Linked DNA regions of Drosophila melanogaster. The protein of the gene in region 1 interacts with the protein of each later gene in a pairwise test. Each region holds a gene or a part of one and is shown on either strand. Other genes may lie near its edges.

The links.
Region 2: the proteins of Nct (region 1) and Uggt interact in a two-hybrid assay, tested with the Drosophila melanogaster proteins (one large-scale study listed by BioGRID).

What each region holds. Positions count from the first base shown.
Region 1 is NT_033777.3:24,849,739-24,861,092, reverse strand, and holds Nct (nicastrin), read right to left. Parts: upstream 9,493-11,354; 5' UTR 9,445-9,492; coding exon 9,381-9,444; intron 9,256-9,380; coding exon 9,160-9,255; intron 9,108-9,159; coding exon 8,418-9,107; intron 8,356-8,417; coding exon 7,554-8,355; intron 7,491-7,553; coding exon 7,279-7,490; intron 7,218-7,278; coding exon 7,007-7,217; coding exon of another isoform or gene 7,003-7,006; exon of another isoform or gene 6,869-7,002; coding exon of another isoform or gene 6,856-6,868; exon of another isoform or gene 6,732-6,855; coding exon 6,707-6,731; 3' UTR 6,224-6,706; downstream 1-6,223. Other genes in the region: CG13639 (uncharacterized protein), read left to right, coding at 773-982; ppk22 (pickpocket 22), read left to right, coding at 1,382-1,578, 1,643-1,849, 1,916-2,105, 2,159-2,292, 2,343-2,610, 2,664-2,892, 2,952-3,236, 3,296-3,471; CAH4 (carbonic anhydrase 4), read left to right, coding at 3,581-3,721, 3,782-4,138, 4,194-4,344, 4,397-4,476, 4,526-4,636; HDAC11 (histone deacetylase 11), read left to right, coding at 4,903-5,091, 5,148-5,990; CG7006 (uncharacterized protein), read right to left, coding at 9,785-10,271, 10,323-10,378; Esp (epidermal stripes and patches), read right to left, coding at 10,860-11,354. UniProt on the Drosophila melanogaster protein: Essential subunit of the gamma-secretase complex, an endoprotease complex that catalyzes the intramembrane cleavage of integral membrane proteins such as Notch.
Region 2 is NT_037436.4:18,871,041-18,884,468, reverse strand, and holds Uggt (UDP-glucose-glycoprotein glucosyltransferase), read right to left. Parts: upstream 11,723-13,428; 5' UTR 11,520-11,722; coding exon 11,291-11,519; intron 11,108-11,290; coding exon 6,690-11,107; 3' UTR 6,224-6,689; downstream 1-6,223. Other genes in the region: CG3961 (uncharacterized protein), read left to right, coding at 3,218-3,391, 3,490-4,667, 4,730-4,958, 5,009-5,182, 5,245-5,382; Rad9, read left to right, coding at 11,985-12,018, 12,075-12,301, 12,356-12,507, 12,616-13,428. UniProt on the Drosophila melanogaster protein: Recognizes glycoproteins with minor folding defects. Reglucosylates single N-glycans near the misfolded part of the protein, thus providing quality control for protein folding in the endoplasmic reticulum.

The DNA.
Region 1 (11,354 bases):
CCAAGTCATCATCCGACTGGACTTATCATGGCTCACAACTGTGGTATATATAGTCTTTTAACGATCCCATCGAGGTACTTGCGCACGAGTAAGCAAGTGATTCACGCCGAGATGCAGCTGGTCAGCTAGGACTTCCCCCCGGAGCACCGACGACCGGCATTGAGGAAGTGAAACCAGAAACCAGATCGCAGTACAGGAAGGAAGACTTCGGTGCCCAAGTCAGTGGCAACTAATCGCGCCGAACATGGCAATTGTTTATGCAAGAATGTGCTAATACGCCGCCTCAGATGGCGCACCTACGTCATTACTCCAATACCCCGACAGAGTCGCTAATTACAATTTAAATACGTACGAGCGAGCACTTATGCTGAGAGGCTGGGTCGAGTTGCCTACATATGGCTAGATCATTCACAGTGCAATTAGAGTCAAGATCAGGTGTTGGATGTTCATATGTATATGCCAACTCACTGCCGATCGGATGAAATAACGGGCTGCGGTGTGAATGACTTGGCGCTGGGCACCGTGTCAGTAAATATTGAGAAAACAAAGTGATCATAAAAATCCATTTCACACAAAGAGACGAGATCTACGTGAGCGGCAAAGCAATTCTCTTGGGGGCTTCAGTCGTTTGCGAAAACCTGATTGATAAGCCAAGCGTCTGAGAACGCCAAGAACCGATCAGCCGACGATATCCATATAAATAGGCTGGTCACCGGCATCAGTGCAGTTCAGTACTGGAAGCGGAGCACTCACATATCAATTCTTGCAAGCCATGTCCGTCCAAGGAGCCATCCATTGCCTTATGGTCGCCCTGCTCCTTCTTCTGATCGTCGTGTCTGGCTCCCCGGCCCGTGGATACCATCAAACACCGAAGCGTGACGGTCGCAGCTACACGGATATCGCCCGAGTGGTCAATCCCAACCAGTACGCCTTTCCCGGATCCCGCATTTATCCTGGCCAGCCCTTCTGGCCAATGGGATAGGACTGGACTAGCATGGTTAACTTCATATAAACATACATTAAAGACTTGACTCAGCTTTAGCTAGACAATGAACTGCTACATCTTGTACAGGAAAATATTTAATAGGATTAAGCTTAAGATTAGTAACATGAACAGTGTGTCAAAGACTATTCCAATGGAATACTATGGCAATTAAAAATGTCATAAAGTACAACCTTTCTGCTTTAACTTCTAAAGTTCCCCCTAAACTAATCATAATTAACCGCATTAATGAAGGAAACGCATTAGCTAGTCACGCCTATTTCGTGATACTTTTATTCATCAATGAACACTTGTAAGCTATACAAACTCTTAGTTACCAGTCAGAGTTCAACAAACAGTAGCTCGGAAAGGATTGGAGTAAATAAAGACCTCAGAAATATGGTCAAGCTGGCATCAACATCCAATGCCATTTGGTGGATTAAGAATCCCAAGGCAGCCGGGGAACATAATTCCAAAGGTAAACGCAAGGAGTCCTTGGGCTCAGCCTTCTGCTTGGATATGGCGGATCTGGTTAGAAACATATCCCTACAGGGTTACAATAAGCTTTTGTCACCGGACTTGACCTTGGGACAAAGGTACAAAAGTTTTCCCAAATATTACTCATACGCAACGTAAGCCGGCATAGTCATATTTTAATAGATTGATTTGGTTGCTGGTACACATGGCCACCACCGTCTCCCTGATTGTGGTGCTCTCGCTAACATGGGAGCAGTTCGTGGCCCAATCCTTTGTGACCAATCTGAAGGATCCTCTTTTTCCAGTGGAGAATGTGCCATTCCCGGCTGTTTCCATCTGCCCCAACAATCGCATCTCTCGCCAGGCAGTTATCCAATATGCTGAAGAATTGTGAGGCTAAAATTATTGAAATAAATATTTGTGTACTTAAATTTTTGTTGTTATATTTATTGTTAGGAGGTTAAACAGTCCTGTAATTCGCCCAGTGGAATACTTTCTAGAGCGCCTAAGGTTCTTCCGCGAGTTCTATACACACGTTGGCGTAGTGGTGGACACCGATGACTTCATTACCTTCCAGACCTTCCTCGACGTCTTCGGCACCTGGAACAATGAGACCTTTTTCGACACTCGCCGCATAATGAAAATGGTAAGAATAGCACGGATCGAGAATATATTGAATCTTGTTTCTATTTTTCACAGTTGACCCCGCGATGCCAAGGATTCGTGCTGAAGTGCACCGTAGCCAATGTGGAAGTGCCCTGCTTCAGCAAGGATGCCTTTCAGGATAGCCTTACCATGTACGGACCCTGCTGCACCTTCAACATGGAGAACAAGTTAATGGTAGCTCTTATTATTATTTCTTTTTTAACCAAATCTTCAACAGACTAAAGAAACGGCACTTCAAGAATCGTCTAGCCAGCTCGGAACTGGGTCTGAAAGTAGTCTTGAACGACAGTCACGTGGACTACTTTGCCCCCATTCTGAACACCAATGGATACATTGTCATGATTCACAATGCTGAAAACTATGCCTCGGTTTATTCCTCCAATGTGCTCGAGATGTTTCCTGGCCAAGGAGAGGATAGCTACATTGCGGTCTGCGCGCGAGTGGTGGACACTGATGATAGCCTAAAATCATTTTCGCCGTTCAGTGTATGCTGTTCTATTTTTCAAATTCAAGACCACCTATAATATCAATCTTATAGCGCCGCTGTTATTTTGAGTACGAGGCACAGAATCCGATCCATGAGCAGCTAATGAACACGTACAGCCTTAGCTACACCTTCCCGAATTGCATAACCAGGTGCCGGATCCGGAGTATCATTGCCTTGTGCCGGTGTCTCCCCTTCCAAATGCCCCTTCAACTGGTGGAAAATCTCGATGGCGTTGTCTACTGCACCTTGGGACACGTTTCCTGTCTCAATCAGTACATATGTAAGCCAATCAGCGGCTTACGCGCACACGTTCTTCCATTTCAATATTTTCGTTTCCAGTTAAGTGGCGCAATATACTGACGGAACGGCACATTGTTAATGGCTTGGAGCGGGAAATCGAGGAGGCTCTTTATTGCCCACAATGTCTGCCCTCCTGCCGGGATGTCCAGTACGAGGTTTCAATGAGTGCCCTGCCAATCGATAACTACCTGGCCACGCTGAAGCTGGACGAGAACAACGAGACGGAGTTCGGTACAGACATCTCCGTTCTCAGGGTTTACTTCGGAGACCCCCATGCCCAATACTATATCCGACTGCTGAATAACACCTGGTTCGAAGTATTCAGTGGGTTTGGATCTACACTCTTCCTATGGCCAGTTGTATCGAATTTTTCCAATTTACAGGTACCATAGGTAACATCATGTCCATTTTCGTCGGCTTCTCCATGGTGGCCATATTCGAGATACTCTTTTTTGTCACCAAGTACATCTACAAAGGCTGCAATCGCATGGTGGAGCAGAACATTATGGATCGGAAGGCCAAGGAGCTGGAAACGAAGAAGTTGTACATATGTCCTTGAAGAACGTTTGGCAACCTTACTCTGCATCTCAGCACCTGAAAAATATATGTCAACAAATCTCGTTTTATTTAGTCCGTAGTCTAGTATTGTAAGTCTGTAAGTCTTTTACATGTTTCTTGTGGCAAGAAGTTTTGCCCCAATTAACTCGGGGACAAGAAGTCATTTTGGATTCAATTATGATAAACAGGGAAGGGATTGGAATGTAAAGTGCGGTGAAAGACAATCGCCCATTGCACTGTGGTCATGCAATGTAAGCCATTCTATCTGATAATGATATCCTAATGCAATAATAAACTTAGCTTATCCGTAGGCCATTACATGTAATGTACCCAAACTGAAGTTCCTGAATTACCATAAGAGCCTGTGCGATCCTTTATCCGTGATCAACAATGGGCTAACAGTTCTCATGCGGATACCCAAGACCGTCGACGGCAGTCGGCCATCCCTTTGCATCAGTACTGAAGGCCAACAGGTCTTCGAGGCCGACCAGTTGCACTTTCACTGGGGCTCCGCACTGAGCAAGGGATCGGAGCACTGCTTGGATGGCAACTATTACGATGGGGAGGTGCACATCGTTCACAAGAATGCCAGTTACAAAAGCAACAAGGAGGCCGGTCTGCAGCCGAATGGCTTTGCGGTTTTGGCCCTGTTCATAAGGAACCTTGAGGTAGGAAGTGCCTCTACGCTTTACCTATACTCTAGCCATCTTATTTCCATTGAAGGATCCGAACATCGAGACGCCAGCTATGAACATGATCTGTAAACAGGTATCCAGCATAACTAAGTTGGATGATTCGTGTCCTCTGGAGGACAGCATGGCTTTGCAGGACCTTTTTGCTAGCATAGACAGCCAAAAATACTTCACCTACCAAGGTGAGATGTTTCTTTTGGCTTTTGGATATCCATTCATACATATATGTTTTAGGTTCGCTTACTACTCCTCCCTGTGCCGAGGCAGTCATCTGGTTTGTTTTCCCGACTCCTCTCGATGTTCCCAAGGAGCTGGTAAGTAATCTAAACAGAAGTAGTTCCTTTTTGTGATATAAATCAACAGTGGAAGCACTTTTGGCAACTGAGGGACTCTCGTGACCAGCGCGTCCTTAACACCTACAGGGAACTGCAAGATGGCCATGACCGACCAGTTTATAGAAGTAAAGCAAAATAAGTGTTTTAGCCAAGTGAATATCATGTAATATGTATTGTCCAAGTCACATAGTGTATTAAAATTATTTTAAGTGCATTTGTTGTTTTATGCAAAAGCTTAGTCCAAGTGCTTGAATGGAAGCTTTTTGCCGGCCGCCAGCTGATGGCGCATCCACCCTTTCCCATTCCCGTTCCCAACCCCAAAGATGCGAAATTGCATTTGCTATTTGCGTAGCCAATTCAACTGGTGTCGGACAGATGTAATCCACGCCTAAATTGAACCACAAAATGAAGCGCCTGACTGAGCGAGTGCACCACGAGGAGCAGGAGTCCGAGGAGGTTGTCTGGGTTAAGCGGGATGACGCACGCTCCGCCGGCAAACTGCCCATCGTGTTCTCAAGGAACTATGCGGTTCGCTTCGGTGGCCTTGAACGCCTACATCCCTTCGATGCGGCCAAGGGCAAGCACATTCACAAGGTTCGTATGCATTTCCCGATCTCCTGAACTTTTATATACCAATCAATGGACCACAGCTCCTGTGCGCCCAACTGCAGCTCGACGACGGCAGCTTCTACGAACCCACGGAGCTGACCAAGGACCAGCTGCGTCGTATTCACACAAGGGAATACCTAAAGTCACTGCGCTGGAGCATGAATGTGGCCTGCATCGCTGAAGTGCCGCTGATGGCCTTCGTCCCGAATCGATACATTCAGCGTTCCTATTTGCGACCCATGCGCTTTCAAGCAGCCGGTTCCATTTTGGCCGGTAAGCTGGCATTGGATTATGGTTGGGCCATCAACCTGGGCGGTGGGTTCCATCACTGTTGCTCGTACAGAGGCGGTGGTTTCTGTCCATATGCTGACATCTCGCTGCTCATCGTCAGGCTGTTCGAGCAGGAACCATTCCGGGTGCGCCGCATAATGATTGTGGACCTGGATGCCCATCAGGGCAATGGGCACGAGCGGGACTTCAATAACGTGGCAGCCGTCTACATTTTCGACATGTACAATGCCTTTGTCTATCCGCGGGATCATGTGGCCAAGGAGAGCATTCGGTGTGCGGTGGAGCTGCGCAACTACACGGAGGATGGATTCTACCTGCGGCAACTAAAACGCTGCCTGATGCAGTCCCTGGCCGAGTTCCGTCCAGATATGGTCGTCTATAATGCGGGAACCGATGTGCTCGAGGGCGATCCATTGGGCAACCTGGCTATTTCCGCGGAGGGCGTTATTGAGCGGGATCGGTTGGTATTTAGTACATTTCGGGCATTAGGAATTCCGGTGGTGATGCTGCTGAGTGGTGGCTACTTGAAGGCATCCGCAGGGGTAATTACAGATTCGATTGTTAATCTTCGGCTTCAAGGATTGCTAAACTAAAGAAATTAAAAATATTTAAGACGATAATATCGTCAAAACTTCGGATTTTGCCAATTCTTACCATTCCCAAAAGTATTTCCACGATTTTAAGAGTATTGAAAATATCTTTTACACTAGTACAAATGGACTTCTTTGGTAAAGAGTTGAGATTAAACTACATCAATCGTTGGAATCTGAGAGCTGTGAATAATTGCCTTGAAAATAACCTAACTAGATAACAGGACATTGCTTTACACCTTATCAAAATTTATTAAACATATATAATTTAAAGTCGTTATAATAATTATTTGTCTTCTATGAAGTAATGATTTCAGATCATTAAGTTCAGTATCGCAATAGATGCAGAAGGTATAAATATTTCCAGTGATTTATAAGTTATAGCAGTTTCTTGTCAATATTTGTACAGACATCTCTTCCTTGGCATTATCAGAGGTTCAATTGGGTTGGTTAATCCTATGTACAATGCAAAAAGGGCCGGACAAGTGGAAAGAATTTTGTCGCAATTGGTTAAATGTCTATATATGATACAACGTAGTTGATAGAAGCTAATTTACTACTTTAAAATACAAAAATACATATAAATAAACGTTTGCTTAATGTTTTAAATAAGACGAGTTAGAATATCATTTTAGTGTCTTTGTTAAGTCTGTTTTTTGTTTTAGATCATATTCAGCAACCAATCATCTTCGGCACGTGATCAGATATTCTTTGAAGATTTAACAGGCTGTCGGCCGCGGCGATCTAAAAGGGCACAATCAGAAATTCTTAATCGATTGGTTTACAAGTAACGTTTAGTTTACGCATGCAGAAATCTATGGAATGAGCTGCTGAACGCGATGATTTCGTCGCTGTGGCAGTTGTGACATCAACCAAATAATCTAGAAACAATAAATTTCAAATAAATATTACAATACATAGAAACCAAACAAAATCTGAGCACTAAAGATGACATGAGTTTCCCAGTAATTGATGAGCAAACTGACGATGTACAAGTGGATGCATCTGAAGGGACTTACGCGGCATTGCTTGCCGGCAAATCCTCAAAGAGGACTTCCGATCGTGAGCTGATTATATACACCAAACAGAAGGATATTATCAGCACCACTATGCCAACGCTTAGAGTTGTGACCTGGTGCACATTGGACGGGCGCAGGAAGATGCGTGCACTGAACTGTGACCAGGTGGATTCAGTCCAAGTGGAATACATGCCGGAACTCCAATCGTAGCCTAATGAAAGTTTAATTGTAAAAATGTTTGCACAAGACAATAAAGGCATTTCAGGGCTAACCATCAATAAGAAAAGCTGGACTCAGGGCGTGACTGTAGTTCTGCGTGGTGAGGCGACACTCTCCGATATTGTTGAATCCGGCGAAATAGTGCAGCGGCAAGTCGGTGCAGTTATCTCTGTGAATGTCTGGCTGCAGTTGTGACAGGAGATAGCCCAGCAATCTATACGTATAGCCCGACGACTCTTGAGAGCCACCCAAGACGCTTATGTAGCTTGGGAAAAGAAAGGCTAGCAATAAATAAATCCAAGTATAGGCATGTTTATAGCTAACTTACCGCATCGGAGGCAAATTGGTGAGCTGACTGCCCGGATAAGATGCGGCCTTAAAGAGTGGGCAGTCCGCCGATTGCAGGAAACAGTAAAGGAACTCATCTGCCATCAGAGGGTTGGCCACCTTGGTGCCAGTGTACTCCTTTCCAGTTATTGTCTGATATAGGGCCATGGCCACAATAGAGGAAACGTTGCGCACTTTCATTTGCAGTGAATCTGGGTTCAAGCTTTTAAAGTCATTAACTTCCGTCAGCTGGGTGAAATCCTTGCTTGTGTTCGCATAGGTGAAGTCCACGTTATCCGCGTCATCGTATATGGAATGATAATACTTGTTCGTTGGACGAGCGTTTAGAATCAATGCATTGAAGTTTGGATCACGTCGCAGAAATGATTGCGCCGACGTAGGTGGTAAGTGAGCGCTCATCTCGGACTGAATGTTCAGGTTAAAGCCATAGCGTGGCGACTTCGCATAGTTATTTAGCCGCTCTAGAATTTGCTGAGCCAAAGTCGTTCCATTTAACGCATGCAGCTTAATATTCGATATGTCATCCAGTGTCCCGATGTCCAGCATGAAGTCAATATTGTCAAAGGCAATCGGAGGCGTGCCTGTGGATTCAGTAGGAAATTGAAGTTTCTCCATGTCGTATACAAATCTTTGAGAACCAATGTAGTCATAGGATTCGCCATTAAAAGTCACAAAGAGGACATTATGAAGGTCTTTGCTTTGCGGCGGAAGTAGTTGTTTTAATAGATACGCCACATGAGTGAAAACAGCAAATCCCATGAGGGAGTCCATGGCTCCAAGACCTGTGAATTGTAGAAATAAATCATGTAGTCGAAGTAGTAGTAATTCCACTACTTGAACTCACCGACGCCATCGAACATGGTGGTGGTGTCCAGGCGACAGGTTACTAATATGAACTTTTCATTCGTATGGACTGTCTCCAAGTTGTTTTCGATTGCTGGCTTTCGGGGGTACAAGGTGGCGTAAACATTCCGTCCCTCGAGCGGATCGCAGTACTTGCTTCCTCCAAGATTATTGATGAAGTTGGTGCGGCGCATACAGACCTCGGTGTTGACAGCGGCGGACATAAAGGACTTGACCTCGACGGCGCACAAGCTACGCAGCGCGTGCGTCTCGTAGTTATGGTTGTTAAAGTCCTGAAAGCACTTCTCTAGCTTGGTGACCTGATCCAAATCGGCTATGTAATAGATAGGAAAGGGAAAGTCCTCGTGCAGAAGTCCAGTGCCCCAGGGATTCCAGTTTTTGGCTGGATTGCTGGCGTCGCAGGTCTCACTGGTGCTGTTCAGGCCGCTGTACTGATTGGGGCAGTTGAGTTCGTGCGAGAACTGCTTCATCTGGTTCGTGCGGTTGATCAGCAGCACCACAGAAATGTTCTTTGGTCCGGCTTCCTTTAGGCGCATCAGGTTGTTACGTGTGAACAGGTGAGGTGGTATCATGGGGGCGTAAGGTGGAGATGGTGGGCTGCTAAGAAGAAATTCCAGGTCGGCCTCGACGTTTATTAGATGTAGTACGCCCACGGAACCGGAGTAGGTTGCTGAAAAGAAAGAATTATAGAGGATTTCAAGGTATATTCTCAATGGACTCACAGGAACAGCCTGTCTGATGGGTGCCATTCAGCCGTCGGAAACAGCTAGCTCCTCCAATGGGCTCGTACATCTTATCGCGGGTTCTTTCTCCTTGAGCTGTGGACAAAGAAAGTTCGGGTTAGATGACTCAGGTTATTTGGCCTATATTAAAAAGTGGGCGTGCGGGTTTTCGACGCCGGTCGCTACTGGAAGCTCCACTTTGTTTTCGTCCTGATTATTACCAATAGTTGCTCCATACGACAGTATTAACAGCCATATGGAAGCCGCATTCAGACGCATTTCCATCGAAGATTCCCACGAAATCGCGTCCAGAAATTGCAGTGTTGCGTGTGACCGTTTCGGTACAAAATACCATTGGCATTGAAAATGCGGGTATATACTATTTCAAACTCAAAAAATACCTTGCATAAAATATACCACAAAATATTGGCTCACTATTTAAAATTTTTTTTTTTAATAATAATTTATGAAATGTAGTGTAAGTTTTATTATCAATTATTATTATTATCAGTATTAACATTAAAAATATAAAATCAAAAGCAGTTTATCCGTTTTTCAGCATACTTATTATTTACCTAAACATGGTTATTGCTACAAAACATGTAAAAACTTAGCATCTATGGATCTAAAAGAGCGTGTCCTCGGCGCGAATATATTCGCCGATATCCGACTGATGAAAGCATACGGTGGTCATGGGATCGGCGGTCTTGCAGTCCGTTGTGGAACGCGCCAGTACGCCGAAGCCCAGAGGCAGGTCGTTCATGGAGTAGACCACCACGCCCTGGTACTGGCCGGCGTTCTCCGTGATGCGACCCAGTCCTGTTTTGGGTATGTGGTTGCCGTAGAGAAACTGCTGCTCGAAGGAGGGCTTCACCCACACCTTGTACTGGGCGTAGGGCGCCAAGTAGTAGAGGGCCGTGATATGGAACTTCAGTTTGTTGGTCTTGGAGAACTTGCCGAAGCAGGTGCCCACGCACACCAGCTGCTTGTAGCCGAAGCACTCGCTCAGCTTCAAAATCCGCTCCGAGACGTAGTAGACCCGATCCTTGTGCTCCCGAAAGCAATATGTTCCATCTGGCCGGTCAATCAAATGCTTCACATTTGTGCCAATGCTGTAAGAGCACTTGTTAGCTGCATTGCGATGATCTGTTTTGGGTACTCACTATTTGGACAGGTGCTCGAACAAGATCTTGGCACGTTCGTCGCTCAGGCGTTTCATTTTAAGTTAAATTAAGCGGAAAAAAGAGGAAAACAAACTGCTCAACTTTACACGTGAGAAATGTTTCAGTGTTGAGTAGGGACGGCTAACAGCACTGAATATATCGGTCTATCTATAGCTTTTATCGATAGCTTAAGAGTGCTGTATAGCGCCATTATCAAGTGTTGTATATTGCCCAAGTATTTAAATTCAAAATCAAATATATCTGATAAACAAAACTGAATAATAGTTTTAATTGATTTGAGTTAACCAATCTCACTGACTTTTACTCTTTCATGAAATAAACAAGATAAATTATTTTTGTTTGTTATTATTACGTAATTAAGAAATACACTTATTTGTTCACCTTACAATTTCTAATAGTTGTGTGCTCTGGATAATACTACACAATTAGTTTACAATCTATTTACAACGCCATAAATAATTAAAGCAAACACTTAGGCTAAATTATTTGTATCACGTGTTGAGGAGAATAAGCCAGTTAGGCCGTCTCGAGCCGCTTCTGCACATAGTTGCGCTCCTTGAGCAGCTCATCCAACTGCTGCTCCTGGTAGTAGACCACGAACTGGGCCGCCGACACGTGCTCGAAAATGGAGCAGATACTCGGTTTGAGGTTGTAGAAGAAGAGCAGTTGTCCTCGCTGATTGAAATCACTGATCAGCGAGTCTATAACCGTGGCCGTTGTGAAGTCAGCCCCGTAGACATGCGACGCATCTATGACCACTGGGACATTTTGCCTAATGGACTGCTTGTTGACCAGATTCCTCACATAATCCACAGACGGGAAGATCAGGCATCGATCTGGCGTGATCATTGAGTACTCCACACCCGACTGTGTGGTCAGTAGCTCGGTGCTCAGCTTGGGACGCGCAGCATGGTAGAGGATAAAGATGACATTGAGTCCCACTCCAATGAGGATGCCCCACTCCAGCGGCAAGACAAGGCAGGCCACAAAGGTTCCAACTCCAGGCACCAG
Region 2 (13,428 bases), on another chromosome or scaffold:
GTGTTGCCACGTGAACTCAGCCACTCAAGTTCAAGTTCACGCAGTTTCTATACTTGAAACATCTAAGAAAAACTCAGCCCCCAGATTGGTTATATAGCTAATTTTAACACGATTTTGATTCATATTTAGATTGATGAATGTTGTTGGCTTAATTGGTGGGGTTTTTCAGTTGTAAACGGTTGATCTTAACAATACACACAGATTGCCCATATCATTTTATAGCTGTTTATATTTAAGAGATACATTTTATATTTTTCAAGAATTTTTGAGCCATGTGCACTTTTGAACGTGAATGCATTTGTACAAATATGTCGAAAGTATCAACAAATTCAAAGAGATTTACAGAAATAGCCACTAATTGAAAAATAAATCAAATTTTACAATTTTATATTTTTTTCCCCTTACATTTTAACTTTGGCTCTATATAACACGACTGCAATCTATCTTAATCAATCAAAATGCCAGGAAGTAAAACCACCGCACATATATCTTTAAATATATTCTTTTGTATTACAACCAATGCATTCAAAAGATTCCCTGTGGTTTGTTATTTAAGATAATTTCTAAAATATAATGGTTAGTAAGGAATAAGTTAGAACAATGAATTTTGTGAGCACTTGAAGTTGGTACTAGAAAATACATAAATTCAGAACGCTTTAAAAAATATGCCAGCCACCTGGAAACCGAAAAAAAAGCTTTTCCCAAACGACCTTGAAATTCTCGCATATTTTTCCTGGCTTTCGTTTATTTTTTTTATTTTTAAAAATATGCTGCCAAACTATTGATACCTTGCAGATTCAATTGAAATTCTTTTTGGTCCCGGCTGTTTCATTCATTTATTTTCATTTCTTTTCTTTGGCTCTCGATTTTTGTTGGGCCAATAGTTTATGTCCGATTTTATGACCACCACAATTACCATAACTCAAAGATGAATTGCTCATTGAGGAAAATGTTTGCTCTCTGCCAATTGGCTCAAAACATCCCAATGAGGCCCGAAACGCGTTCCCCATGACTCAGTACTCGATCGTCTTTAGAAAATTGAAATTTTCCTCTATTTCTTAGCATTTTGCATAAAGTGTTAATTGTATTCGAGTGTGTGTGTGAAAGCATAGTTTGGTTTTTTTCTTTTATTTAATGCCGCCACACACATTTGGCGGGTCCCATAGATAACAACAGAGTGGAACGTTTTTACCCACAAACGAACTATTTATAAAAATAATTTGGGGCAGGCCAAGCAAAATCCGCAGACGACGCCTTGTCGATAATGTGTTGGCCACTCTCTCTTTTTGTCTTGGCCATTTTACACCGTTCTCTTGCCTTTTTTTTTTGCTATCCCCTTTTTTTGGGGCCGCCCTGCAGCTGCCAATATTGAAAAATTATAAACAAAATGACTGGGCCGCACTTGCCAAAAATATGCAAACGGACAGCCAGGCGTCATAATTATGCTATGGCTTTTGACTTTTGGTTCTGCTTTTAATTTTTGTTCTAATTGGTGTAATTCAGATATTATGTGAGGTTTTAAAATGAATTTAAGTAGATGCTAAGTGGATTAATAAAATAAGGAATGATACTATACGATCAATATAAGATTAAATACCAAAAATTATTAGTAGAAGAAGTGAACCAAAAATTTTGAATAGTAAAAAAAATACATAGAATGGAGCAACTATCGATATAAAATAAACAATAATATCTGTTTAATATCTGAACAACATTTTCCGCACACCCTTCAATTACAAATCTATTTTAAGCGCGCGCTAATTAGCGTTTAAACGATCTCGATGCGGTTATGAAATGTGCCTTATGGGAAAATCTATAATTGAAATGTACATTGGACCGTTTAAACGCGAGGCGTACTTGGCAATTAAACGCCAGATATTGAATGCAAATTGGTCAATGAATTGGAAATGTGCTTAAATTCGCGTTTGTGTTTTACAGTCGCTTGGAAAATGTGCGTGTAAAATGTCAGATGCAATCTGAACGATCAATAAATAGAGCCATAAGTGAAGAAAGTGTCCAAAAGTCAGCAAACATTGAGTAAACCTAAGAAGTGATAATACAGAAAAAAAAAGAAAACCATGTCCTGTTGCGGCCAAATCACCAGTATACGAGTGCCCATCGAGCTAAGCAATCAGAGCGATGTGCTCAAGGTAAACCCCTTTATGAGGACCTAAACAAATAGAATGAAATGACAAAACTGCCTGACCAGGATTAACTAAGCAATCACTAATATATACTTTATTTTGCTTCTTTTATTTTTGTTTACCGTCTCTTACATTTCGTGGGCTAGATCATATACGATCATCGTCAAGATATCCACCATAGGGTATGCCCCATGAAACTAAGCCCCTCGTAGTATGCACTAGCTAACTAACAATTTCCCCTAGACTTGCGTCAATAATGAAAATGAAATCCATAAACAAAATCAATTTGCAAAGCACTTTAATCTGTGGAAAACAATTAGTTTTGAAAATACATTCGCATTTTGCTCATTAAAAGCGGGCAGCAAAAATAAACAAACTAACTCTTTGGATCCGCGGACCAGTACCCCCCACAAAAATATTCCCCCATCGCAGAGTATTTTGATATTCGTTCTCGTACATCAACACTTTTGGCCATTGCGGTTGTTGTTTCTTTCGCAGCTGTTTACCATAAAGGAAGTGGCTCGATGTGCTTTACTTTCGAGCGGACTAATGAAATCCCGCCGAGTGATGGGTTTATGTCTCTGGCCACAAAATAAATGATAAATCATAGCCTTTTGGCTGCGTACATAAACTAGAATGGTTATTGATTTTATTCTAACAATTGGCTAAAGTAACCGAAAATAAACACACTCAATGGATGGACGGACTATAATAGCTCTAGATTTAGGGGAAACAGATTTCCGATCGTATGAGATCAATTAAAACTTGAACTTACGACAATATCCCATTGTACCTAAATCTTTTATATGGCTTCCCATTTCCGTTAATGGCAATTAAATGACGAAGAAATATTTATTTATTTTTTTTTTTTAGCTCAAGACAAGCAACTCACTAACGTTGAACATATGTACATATGTATTTGCATCTGTCTAACCCAACAAAAATACTATCTGTACCCCACCGAACTCTTGATTGTATATATTCTTTTCTACCTCAATATCTGAACGTATCTCACTCATTGCATGTCCTCCGACTTCTCTGTTTCTTTTGGGGTCACTTCACTTGCATTGCAGGGTCCAGAACAAATACACGTCTCCAAGTTCTACAAGGAGTCGAAGAACGGCAAGTTCGTGTCCTACATCACAGAGAATGTCCGCACCCTGTACCAGACGTTCCGCGAGGGCGCCTACGCCTCCAACAATGGACCATGTCTTGGCTGGCGCGAGACCCTGACCTCCCCCTACCAGGTAAAAGTCCCAAAAGTCATAATTGGAAATTGATATAGTTCTAGTTATATGTAATATGCATTTACATATTTAATTTACTCCAATCCTTGTCAACTTAGTGGATCAACTACGACGAGGCCCTGCTGCGTGCCAAGAACTTTGGAGCCGGAATGCTGGCGCTAGGAGCCAGGCCAAAGCAGTTGATTGGGATCTACTCGCAGAACCGCCCGGAATGGATCCTGTACGAGCAGGGCTGCTACTCCTTCTCCTTGGTGGTGGTGCCGCTGTACGACACCCTGGGCCCCGATGCCTGCGCCTTCATCATACGCCAGACGGATATGCAGGTGGTGATTGTGGAGGACGATGGCAAGGCGGCCATGCTGTTGGAGAAGGCGCCGCGCAGTCTGAAGATCATAGTGGCTATCAAGCCCATCCGGCAGACGACCCTGGAGCGGGCACGCAGCCGAGGCATACAGATATTCTCATTTATCGATGTGGAGAAACTAGGTGCCAAAGGCAACCATCCGGAGGTGCCGCCGACGGCGGAGGATCTTTGCACGGTGTGCTACACGTCCGGGACGACGGGCAATCCGAAGGGCGTGATGCTCACCCACGGCAACGTGGTGGCCGGCGTCTGTTCTGTGATCCTGCAGATGGGCGACCATCGCATCCGGGCGGGCGATGTGATGGTGTCATTCCTGCCCCTGGCCCACATGTTCGAGCGTTGCTGCGAGAATGGAATGTACTATGTGGGCGGCTGTGTGGGCTTCTATTCCGGCGACATCAAGGAATTAACCAATGACCTCAAGATGCTGAAACCAACCGTAATGCCGGCAGTGCCTCGTCTTTTGAACCGCGTCTACGACAAGATTCAGAATGATATCTCAGCGTCTGGACTGAAGAGGGGTCTCTTCAATATGGCTATGCGAGCGAAGGAGAAGGAGATCGCCAGGGGTGTCCTGCGGAGGAACGGCTGCTGGGACAAGTTGGTCTTCAAGAAGGTGCATCAGGCCTTTGGCGGAAATCTTCGTTTAATGGTCGTGGGCTCCGCCCCATTGGCCGGAAATGTCCTGACCTTCATGCGCTGTGCTCTGGGCTGCCTGGTTCTCGAGGGATATGGCCAAACGGAGTGCACGGGGGCCATTACCCTTACCGTTCAGGGAGATCATGTGCCCAACCATGTGGGACCACCCGTGTCCTGCAATGCTGTGAAACTGGTGGATGTGCCGGAGATGGAGTACTTTGCCAATCAAAATACTGGCGAGGTGTGTGTGCGCGGATCGAATGTGTTCCATGGGTAGGTAAAGCTAATATGAATATTCCACTTTTGTTTAATCCATTGAATTGTTGTGTGAATAGTTACTATAAGGATCCCGAAAAGACGGCGGAGGCCATCGATTCGGAGGGCTGGCATCATACGGGCGATGTGGGCATGTGGCTGCCAAATGGAACACTACGGATCATCGATCGCCGCAAGCACATCTTCAAGCTTAGCCAGGGCGAGTACATAGTGCCCGAGAAGATCGAGAATATCTACACGCTCAGTCAATACGTAAATCAAGTTTATGTCTATGGAGAGAGCTTAAAGGTAAGACCGAAATTGTATTATATATGTACATATTTACCAAATTCTTTCAGAGCTGCATTATCGCTGTTGTTGTACCTGATACCGATGTACTGAAGCAATGGGCCACGGAGAACAATGTACGCGGCACACTCTCCGTCCTGTGCAATAATAAGAATGTCAAGGAACTGATCATGAACGACATGCTCAACTGGGGCAAGCAGAGTGGACTCAAGTCATTCGAACAGGTGAGCTTTTGAATCAGCATACCTATAGGTTTCGAGATAATATCCGGGATATTTAATTTTAGGTTAAAGATATCTATCTGCATCCGGATCCCTTCTCGGTGCAAAACGGACTGCTGACGCCCACATTCAAAGCCAAGAGACCGCAGCTTAAGAGCTATTTTAAGCCCCAGCTGGAGGATATGTATAAACACCTGGATTAAAGCAATGCCTATATGCATACATAGACATCAACAACGAATCGAACTCAAGAAACTGGGAAGCATTCATTCAAATATGCCTATACCATTTTAAACTGATGATAACAAAGACTACAGATACAGATACGAAAGCGAACTGTCTAATTTTGTAGTATCGTCAATTCTTAGCACGTAAGAGGAGCGCAAGATACACCAGATACAGATACAATACACATAAAATATACACAACTTCAAACTGACAAGGAGAATCCTTTTGGCAGCCGCATTTTTTTATATAATTTAACCGAGAAGCGAACCTTAATTAATATATTAACTATATATTTCCCTTTAAACACTTATGAGCTAGTTCAAAAGTGGATAGAAAACAATTGCGTAGTCTGAACCAAAACATATATAATAACATATTGAGCAAATTGAATAAAAAGAAAGCTTTAATTAACTATTGTATACTACACTCAGCGCTAGATGGAAACTAAAGTGAAGAATCAAATTTTTAACTATATATTAGATACGCTAAAACTAAATTAATGGGAATGAAATGTTCATCGCAAATGCTGAGGAATTACTTTTAACTTACAAATGAACGCCAATCGAGAAGCAGATCAAACCTAATAATAAATATGGAAAAGATCAACGTCTTTGGACTGCACTGTCTGCCTTACTAAATACCAAATGAAAATTTATTAATAAATTGCTAAAATAATGAACTATTTCATATTAAGAGCTAAACAATAAAGTAAAGCAGCATTGTATTAAATTTATTAAATAGATTCTTTATGTAGATACGAAAGCAAGTTAACTCAAAATAATATGAAATAAAACCAACAAAAATACAAATTGAAATACTGAGATTTTTGAAAACTTTATTTGAATTTGGCGTTGCCACCTAACGCACATACGCAGTCACCAAAGCTTTTCGAGGGGGTAAAGTGGCCTGACCATCCCAAATAAATGGTTAATAAAATACGCTGAATTAATTACTATTTACTCCAACTTTTAATACATTTGACAATCTTCAACTTAAAGGCGCGTATTTAGTATGATGACATTTAATTTCGGCTTAACTTAATTAGTAGCTCTTGGAATGCAAGACAAGAAAATCGTTCGAAATCGAGTTACAAAACACAATTCAGACTTTAGTGAGCTGTTTTCTTTTTGAGTTGGGTTTACGTTATCAATCGCATTATGTTCTAATTAAAATGTACAAATGTGTTTAGTCGTTATTTCGGAGATGGCTCTTAGCTAAGTAATCAAGTGTTTATCCATCGATATTTAAATTCACTAAACATGTTGATTTAACTACGCGTTCATCACAGCTCGCCGTGCTTGGGCTCATGAGAAGGCGTCACAGTGGTGACCTCCACCGAATCGTCAACCGAATCATCAACTGCCGAGTCCCTGCTATGCGAATTCTCATGATCCTCGATGCGAGACATCAGGGTCTTCAGCTCGGCATCGTAGTCCTTCCATTCGGGCACAATCCTCTGGGCGGCCGTGAGTTTGGCCTCCTTGGTCTGCGGGTTGTTGCACAAATCAATCACTTTAGCAGTCTTGAAGTTGCTGTCGCTGCACCACGTTTGGCACCATAGCCAGTCGTCGGGCAGGGATTTGATGGCGACCTGGTGGATCATGTTGTTGGGCAAGTCCTGATCCAAATTGGATAAGCTGTTCGGATCCTGGCTAAGTGCCTGGTATTGGCCTCTTAGCCTATCTCCTGCCGCAATCTTGCGGAATCTCTTCAAGTCCACCACGTACAAGGCGGAAATGTGGTAACGCCTGCCCATCAGATGGCTTCGCCAGTATCCCTGCTTCCAGAATCGGAAGCCCTCCATCTCTTTGCGGGAATCGCAGAATGGCGTGTAGGCATAGGGTGCTCCTCCGAGGTCCATGTCATACAACTCCTTTATATCCGTTCTTACGATGGCATCGGCATCCACGAAAATGATTTTCCTCACATTCAGCGGGAAGAGCACGTCCAGGAAAAGGATCTTGTAGCCCCAAATGGTCCTCTGTTTTTCCGTTTGCTGATGCAGCCAGCGGGGCCATTTGTACTGGACCAATTCGTACTGGAAGTTGTACTCACTGGCCATGTGAGGAAGGAAATCCGTAAATTGCGGCGAAAGATAGTTCTTCAAGAACCAGAACTTCACAGGTGATTTTGTGTGCTTTAGCAGCGAAACCATCATGATCCTTAGAAGACGTTCGTACAAGTGTCCCGATGCCACAGAGAAAATGTTGATGGTTTCCGTATCCTCATCAGTGGCTGCTTGGTTGGCACTGCCGCCGCCAAAACTGCTGGCGATGCTGTTCCACATGCCTGATTGCGCTGCCTGTTCGTTGTCATCTGACAGGAGTTCCGCCTGCTGCATGCCTGGCTTCTTAGACACCCTTAATTTGACAACATGGGATCGCAAGGAGGTTATAAGAACCTGAACTTCAGAAGAGCCAGCCGAATGATGGGTATTTGTTCCTTCAATGTGGCTGATTGCATAAATATCCGCCGATTTGCCTTCACGCAAGCGTAGGGACCAAGCTCCTGGATTGGCTTTAAGTTGGAAATAACCCAAATTCGCCATCACAATAGTATCTACCAAGGTAGGTTGACTCTGGGTACCCAACACCAACTGAAGTCCTCTGGGCGGAGCGCCGCTAGCAGCATCAAAGCAGTGACCCTCCAACAGCAGATACTCCAGATCGAATTCGCTGTGCACAGGTCCACCAATATCGGTCAACTTAATGTTGTCCAGATCGTAAACTGCTCTCACAGCTTCGACCAACCAGTTCTCGGGAACCTGCAGCTGCTGGGTCAGCAGAGGATTGGCTGGCAATCCACTGAATTTGGCCAAAGGACCATCAGATCGGCCTCCATTCGCCTCGAATTGGACCTCCGGTTCCACAACGTATCTGTAGAAGTTCTTCACGGGCATATCGCTGTGCTGGGGGACGGGAATCAGGTATAAGTTCAATTGGCAGTTCAGCACTTGACGAAGCAAAATAAGTATTGGCGTTAGTTTTTGAGCTGCTCGGGAGGCGGGATCCAAAACGGCGGCAACATCAAAATGGGGAAGATTCTCCTGTTTGGGCGGTAGTTTTACAACCGAGTGATCGGTTTTTAAGTCCGTTGGTAGCTTAAAGCGAGTTTTGGTTTGCCTGGGAAGCAGGCTGGCATACAACTTAAGCAATGTATCGCTGTTGAATTCCTCATTGACATCTTGAGCAGATTCCTTCAGGACCTGACGCACCTTATCGCTATACTGTAGAGAACTGAACCTGGCTAGCAAAGCGAAATCGGCGCTATCAAAGCTTTCATCCGACGAAAGGGGCCCATAAAGCCGCCCATTACCGATGACCAAACGCTGGGATTTATTTAGACCCAACACTCGCTGGGAATAAACTCTCAACATCTTCAGGTGCAGCTCTGTAGATCCCAGGATATCCTCGAGCTGAGTGGGTATCTCAATTTTCTCCTTTGGTTTCTTTAGCCACTTGAGAACCTGCTCCGTGGCTTGAGTTGGTGGAAGACTCTGCATGGCAGCCCAAACCAATCGATTAAGATTCCTCCGGCTTGAGGCGGAAGAGCTTTCAGTGTTTGGAATGAATGCGACTCGCACACTCTCTCCACTTTGGACATAGTCCAGGGCATGGGTGAGCAGATCTCGACCCTGGTCAGTTTCCAAATCAGCAAACACCCAAATCGTTAGGAACTGTAGGGATGCTCGGCCAATAAGCTCCGTAGACTTCTTGCCACCAAAGTATTTAAGATTATCCATTAGCGTAGCGGTCATATCCCGGTTAGACAGACGATTTAAAACTCCAACATTGCCAAGATTTTTGTAGGCCACGCCGTTAATATCAAGATATTTCACATCCTCCTGGCTTAGGATTCGCTGATTCAATCTGGGCATCACGTGAGGTTGATTCATCAGATAATCAATGGCTACATCGTTGTCTGTCAGTTCACCTTTGTACACAGCCTTTTGGAGATTGCTGGTGTGGGTCATAATCTCGGTGAAAATAGCCTCCTCGAAGTCGCTATCGGCGGTCACAACGTTGCTGGGCATTGGAACACCATTCAACAAGGCCTGAGGTTGTCCCTTGTCTCCGAATCCCAGCCGCTGAATGAACTCTGCTGCGAGCTCCCTGCCATAGTCGTACGTGGAATCTTCCTCCAGGAACTCCTCCGCTTTGGCAAAGCTTAATGATGTAAATTCCTTCGTTAGTTGCTTGACTATGTCTTTTTTCGTGACCACTTTGGTCTCACCAACTGCTGCGTAGATGTCGGTGAGGAAACTTAAAGCAGCTCGGGCATCCTTTTTCTGACTCACATAGTTATAGGCGCACGTGATGGCTACGTAATCTGCAAGATTATCCTCGTTGGCGTCCCTCGCATCGAAAACCAAACCCAAGCGAATGGGAGCTTGATGGATGACAAACGACTCTGACAGTTTAATAACACTTCTAGCTGTGGGCTGCAGCGCGTCTACCACTAGGACCAAATTGAACACATTCTTTCGGATATTCCTTAACATGCCAGGAAAGGTTGGACGCAAAAGATCCATCACCGATGAGGGCCACCTGCGGTACTGCACATCGTTTTCAATATCGTTGACCCACTGTACTGCAGTGTCACGGATGTCGATGGCGAATTCTTTTTTGCTGGAGGCCGTCAGATCCAAGGCGAGCAAGGAGCTGGCAAGGCTTCCCCTCACATTATTACTGTGCAGACTCTCGAGAACACGCATCTCCGAGCGCAGCGTCTCAATCAGGGAATACAGATCCATTGTGTCAGCATCGAAGAAGAGTCCATTGATGAAAAGGGCACCATCTGGAGGCGCTACATTCAAGCTTCTTCCAAATGCTTCCGTATTATGCTTTACCTCCGCCCTTAAGCCATCCGTAACCTTGTGGGCCAGCAGGGTTCTGGCCAACATGGGGAAATTATGGGCAGTATATTGAAGAATTTGTAGGGTTTCATCACCCTGTATTTCTGCAATAGCAGCGGCCGCCTGGAGACCCAAATCCTGGAACTCCCATGCTTTCAATTGGGCGATCTCATCGTTTCCCTGAAGAAGCCTCTGACGCAGTTGATCCAGCGCTCTCTTAAGTGTAGGATGCTTCTGCTTCAGCACCTTGAAATCAAAGCCCTGGACGTCCGATTCATTAGCCAAATCCTCATCAGAAGTGGAACCAGCTTCGGGCTTTGGAGCATCATCCTGACTCTTGTATTCCGTTGACTTCAGATGGAGTTCCACTCCATAGCCCGAAAGTCGTACCGGTCGCTTGTCCTTCTTGGCCAATTGATGACGCAAGATGTAACGAATCCGGCCAGCATTGGCTTCCTTTTCCAATAGTTTGTGATAGGTGCGGAATTGAGAGCTTCCCAAATCGCCGTATAGTACCACAGTGCGGGTATTGTTCTCACTGCCAGGGAAAATGTGATCAAAGCTGTAGGTGACAACAGAAGCATCCAAGCTATCCTTGGCGAGCGGCACTTCCAGCTTCTTCTGCAGCTCGTTAAAGCTGCAGGCCAGTTCGGAACCCACCTGGGCAAAAGTAAAGCTCTGACAAGAGCCACTGCTCCTCAGTTCCTCGGCCAACTGGAAGTGGGTCTGGATCCGGGGCGTCAAGCTATGCATGGATACCACCAGCCTAAGCAGGGGCAATTGGGGAGAACTCACATGGCTCTTGACCAGCTCCAAGGCGGCATTGTACTGTTGCGACTCGGTATCTGAAAAGCGAAAACGTAATCAGAAAAATAAATTACCCTTTGGGAAAAGATCACATTATAGGGCTTTGGGAATAGGTGATTTTATATTCCGAACCATTACTTGATTTTATATGGATTCGATTCACATTGAGGAGAATATAAAAGCTCTTTAATGCGGGTTCTCCATGACTTATAAACACAAACCATATTCGTTGAGAACCGTGTCCAACTTGGTCACCCCCGAAACGTAATCCCAGAAGAGGCCCGCCTGCTCATCGGCCAGATACTCGGCGATTTCCAGATATAGGGGCGTCTGCGTCCATTTCGCGTTGATTAGCGTGGTGATGGGATAGCTCTGACTGGATTCCCCAGAAGTTGGCGTATATAGTGCTATGAGCACCACAGACACACACAAAGCCACGGCACGTAACATGGTTTCCACTTGTTTTAACGTAGATTAAACCACGCACATTACGTATACTAAGCGTAGAGAGGAACTTAAGGCTTTCCTTCTCCAAATATTTTACTTTTCACCAGTTTTCGGCTGGTTTTAGCCCAGTTTTTCTTAATTTGATTTAGAACTGATGTGGCGTTCGTTGATGAACCGGCATGCCGCAGTGTGACCAGACTACATTGGAACTACATCGGGTTGAAGAACTTATTTAAATTTATTTATTTTACGGACAATTGTCAATATGGAAATATTTTGCTTTAAATTATAAAAGAAATTATTGAAATATAAAAATAGTACATACTTACTTCAAAATGCATAAATGGGTAACTAAATTCCTTTGTTGGTATTTTTCATACCTGTTGTGCGACTACTATCACTCTAATTTGTTTGTTTACAAATTTCAGCGCGAATTTCGCGACCAAAAACATAGTGCAAATATTGCCAATGAAATACACTTTAGAGGGCAGCAATGCAAGAGGTACCACATAATAAACAGCAAAATATATTGATAACTAAAAGAATTCATTTTTTAAGTCATCGCCAAAGCCGTACAATCGCTGTCCAAGGTGGGCAAGGAGATGTTCATCGAGATCGACCAGCAATCCTTGCAGATGCGGGCCATAAATGCCACCCAATCCGCAGTGGGCAGCATATCGTTCAAAAGATCCATGTTCGAAGTGTATGACATGCCGCCGCACTCAGATTTCTACTGCAAGATCTCCATGAAGGGATGTTTGGCCGTGTTCCGCAACATGAATGAGGTAAGTTCGAAAGTCTGCTCACTGGGATTAGTTGTTAAGAATATTATGTTCCAGGTGGAGTACTGTGAACTCAACTTGCTGGACAACCAGACCAACCTGCAGGTGAATCTCCGCTGTAAGCTGGAGACCACAAAGGAGGCCACCATTTCCATCATAGACGACCAAAACATTAACACAAACATTAACACCGATCAGATGCCGAATATGTGAGTTTTGGTTTGTGTTAAGGATAACTATTAAGTTTATCTCCTTACCTTATTTCTCTTAAAACAACTATGCCCATATAAATCCGAATTTACTACTCAACATTTCAGAATCCGTGGCGATCACAAGCTGTTGACGGATATATCCAATAACTTTAACTCCTCAGAGGAGGAACTTACTTTGGAGGCAAACTCGGGCAGTGTGGTGGCCAAAAACTACATAGAAGGAGCCCGAGTTAATGATAAGTTCATGCGCACGCAGCTGAAACTTAAGCCCAGTGAATTTGAGCAGTACCAGGTAACGAAGGAGACGGTCATTACATTCTGCATTAAGGAATTCCGAGCATTTCTCCTCTTCGCCGAGTGCTTAAATGCTTCGCTGACCCTGGAGTTCGACGAAGCGGGCATGCCTTTCCTGCTCAAAATTAAGAAGCATGGCGAGATTGAATGCTTGCTGATCATGTCCACGCTATCCCCCGATGATATAAGCTTCTCGGAAGATTATTGTCAAAAGGATCTGACAGTGCAGGATGAGGATGTACGAGCGGCGGCCGCAAAGCGAAAGAGCAGCGTTTCGAAGCCGAATGTGACCAACAAACGCAAAGGCAGCTCTTCGGAACCGGCTGCAGTGCAGCCAAAACGGCGAGTTGAGGAGACCCAATTAGAATCGAGCCTAGATAATCCACTGTTTCAGTTCCGGGACTCGGAGGCGCCATCTGTTCAGCACCCTCGCATCCTAGCCGAGGTGGACACTGTGGTTCTGATTGAAGATGAGGCGGAACAAGAGGCTCTCATGCTGGCAGCCGCGGATGCCGCTTTGGAGGCCAGCATGGCACCTGCTCCAGAGCCGCCGAACAGCACGGAGGTTTGCTTTATCAACACAGACGACTCTCAACAACCTAAACCTGCGAAAAGCTCCTCCGA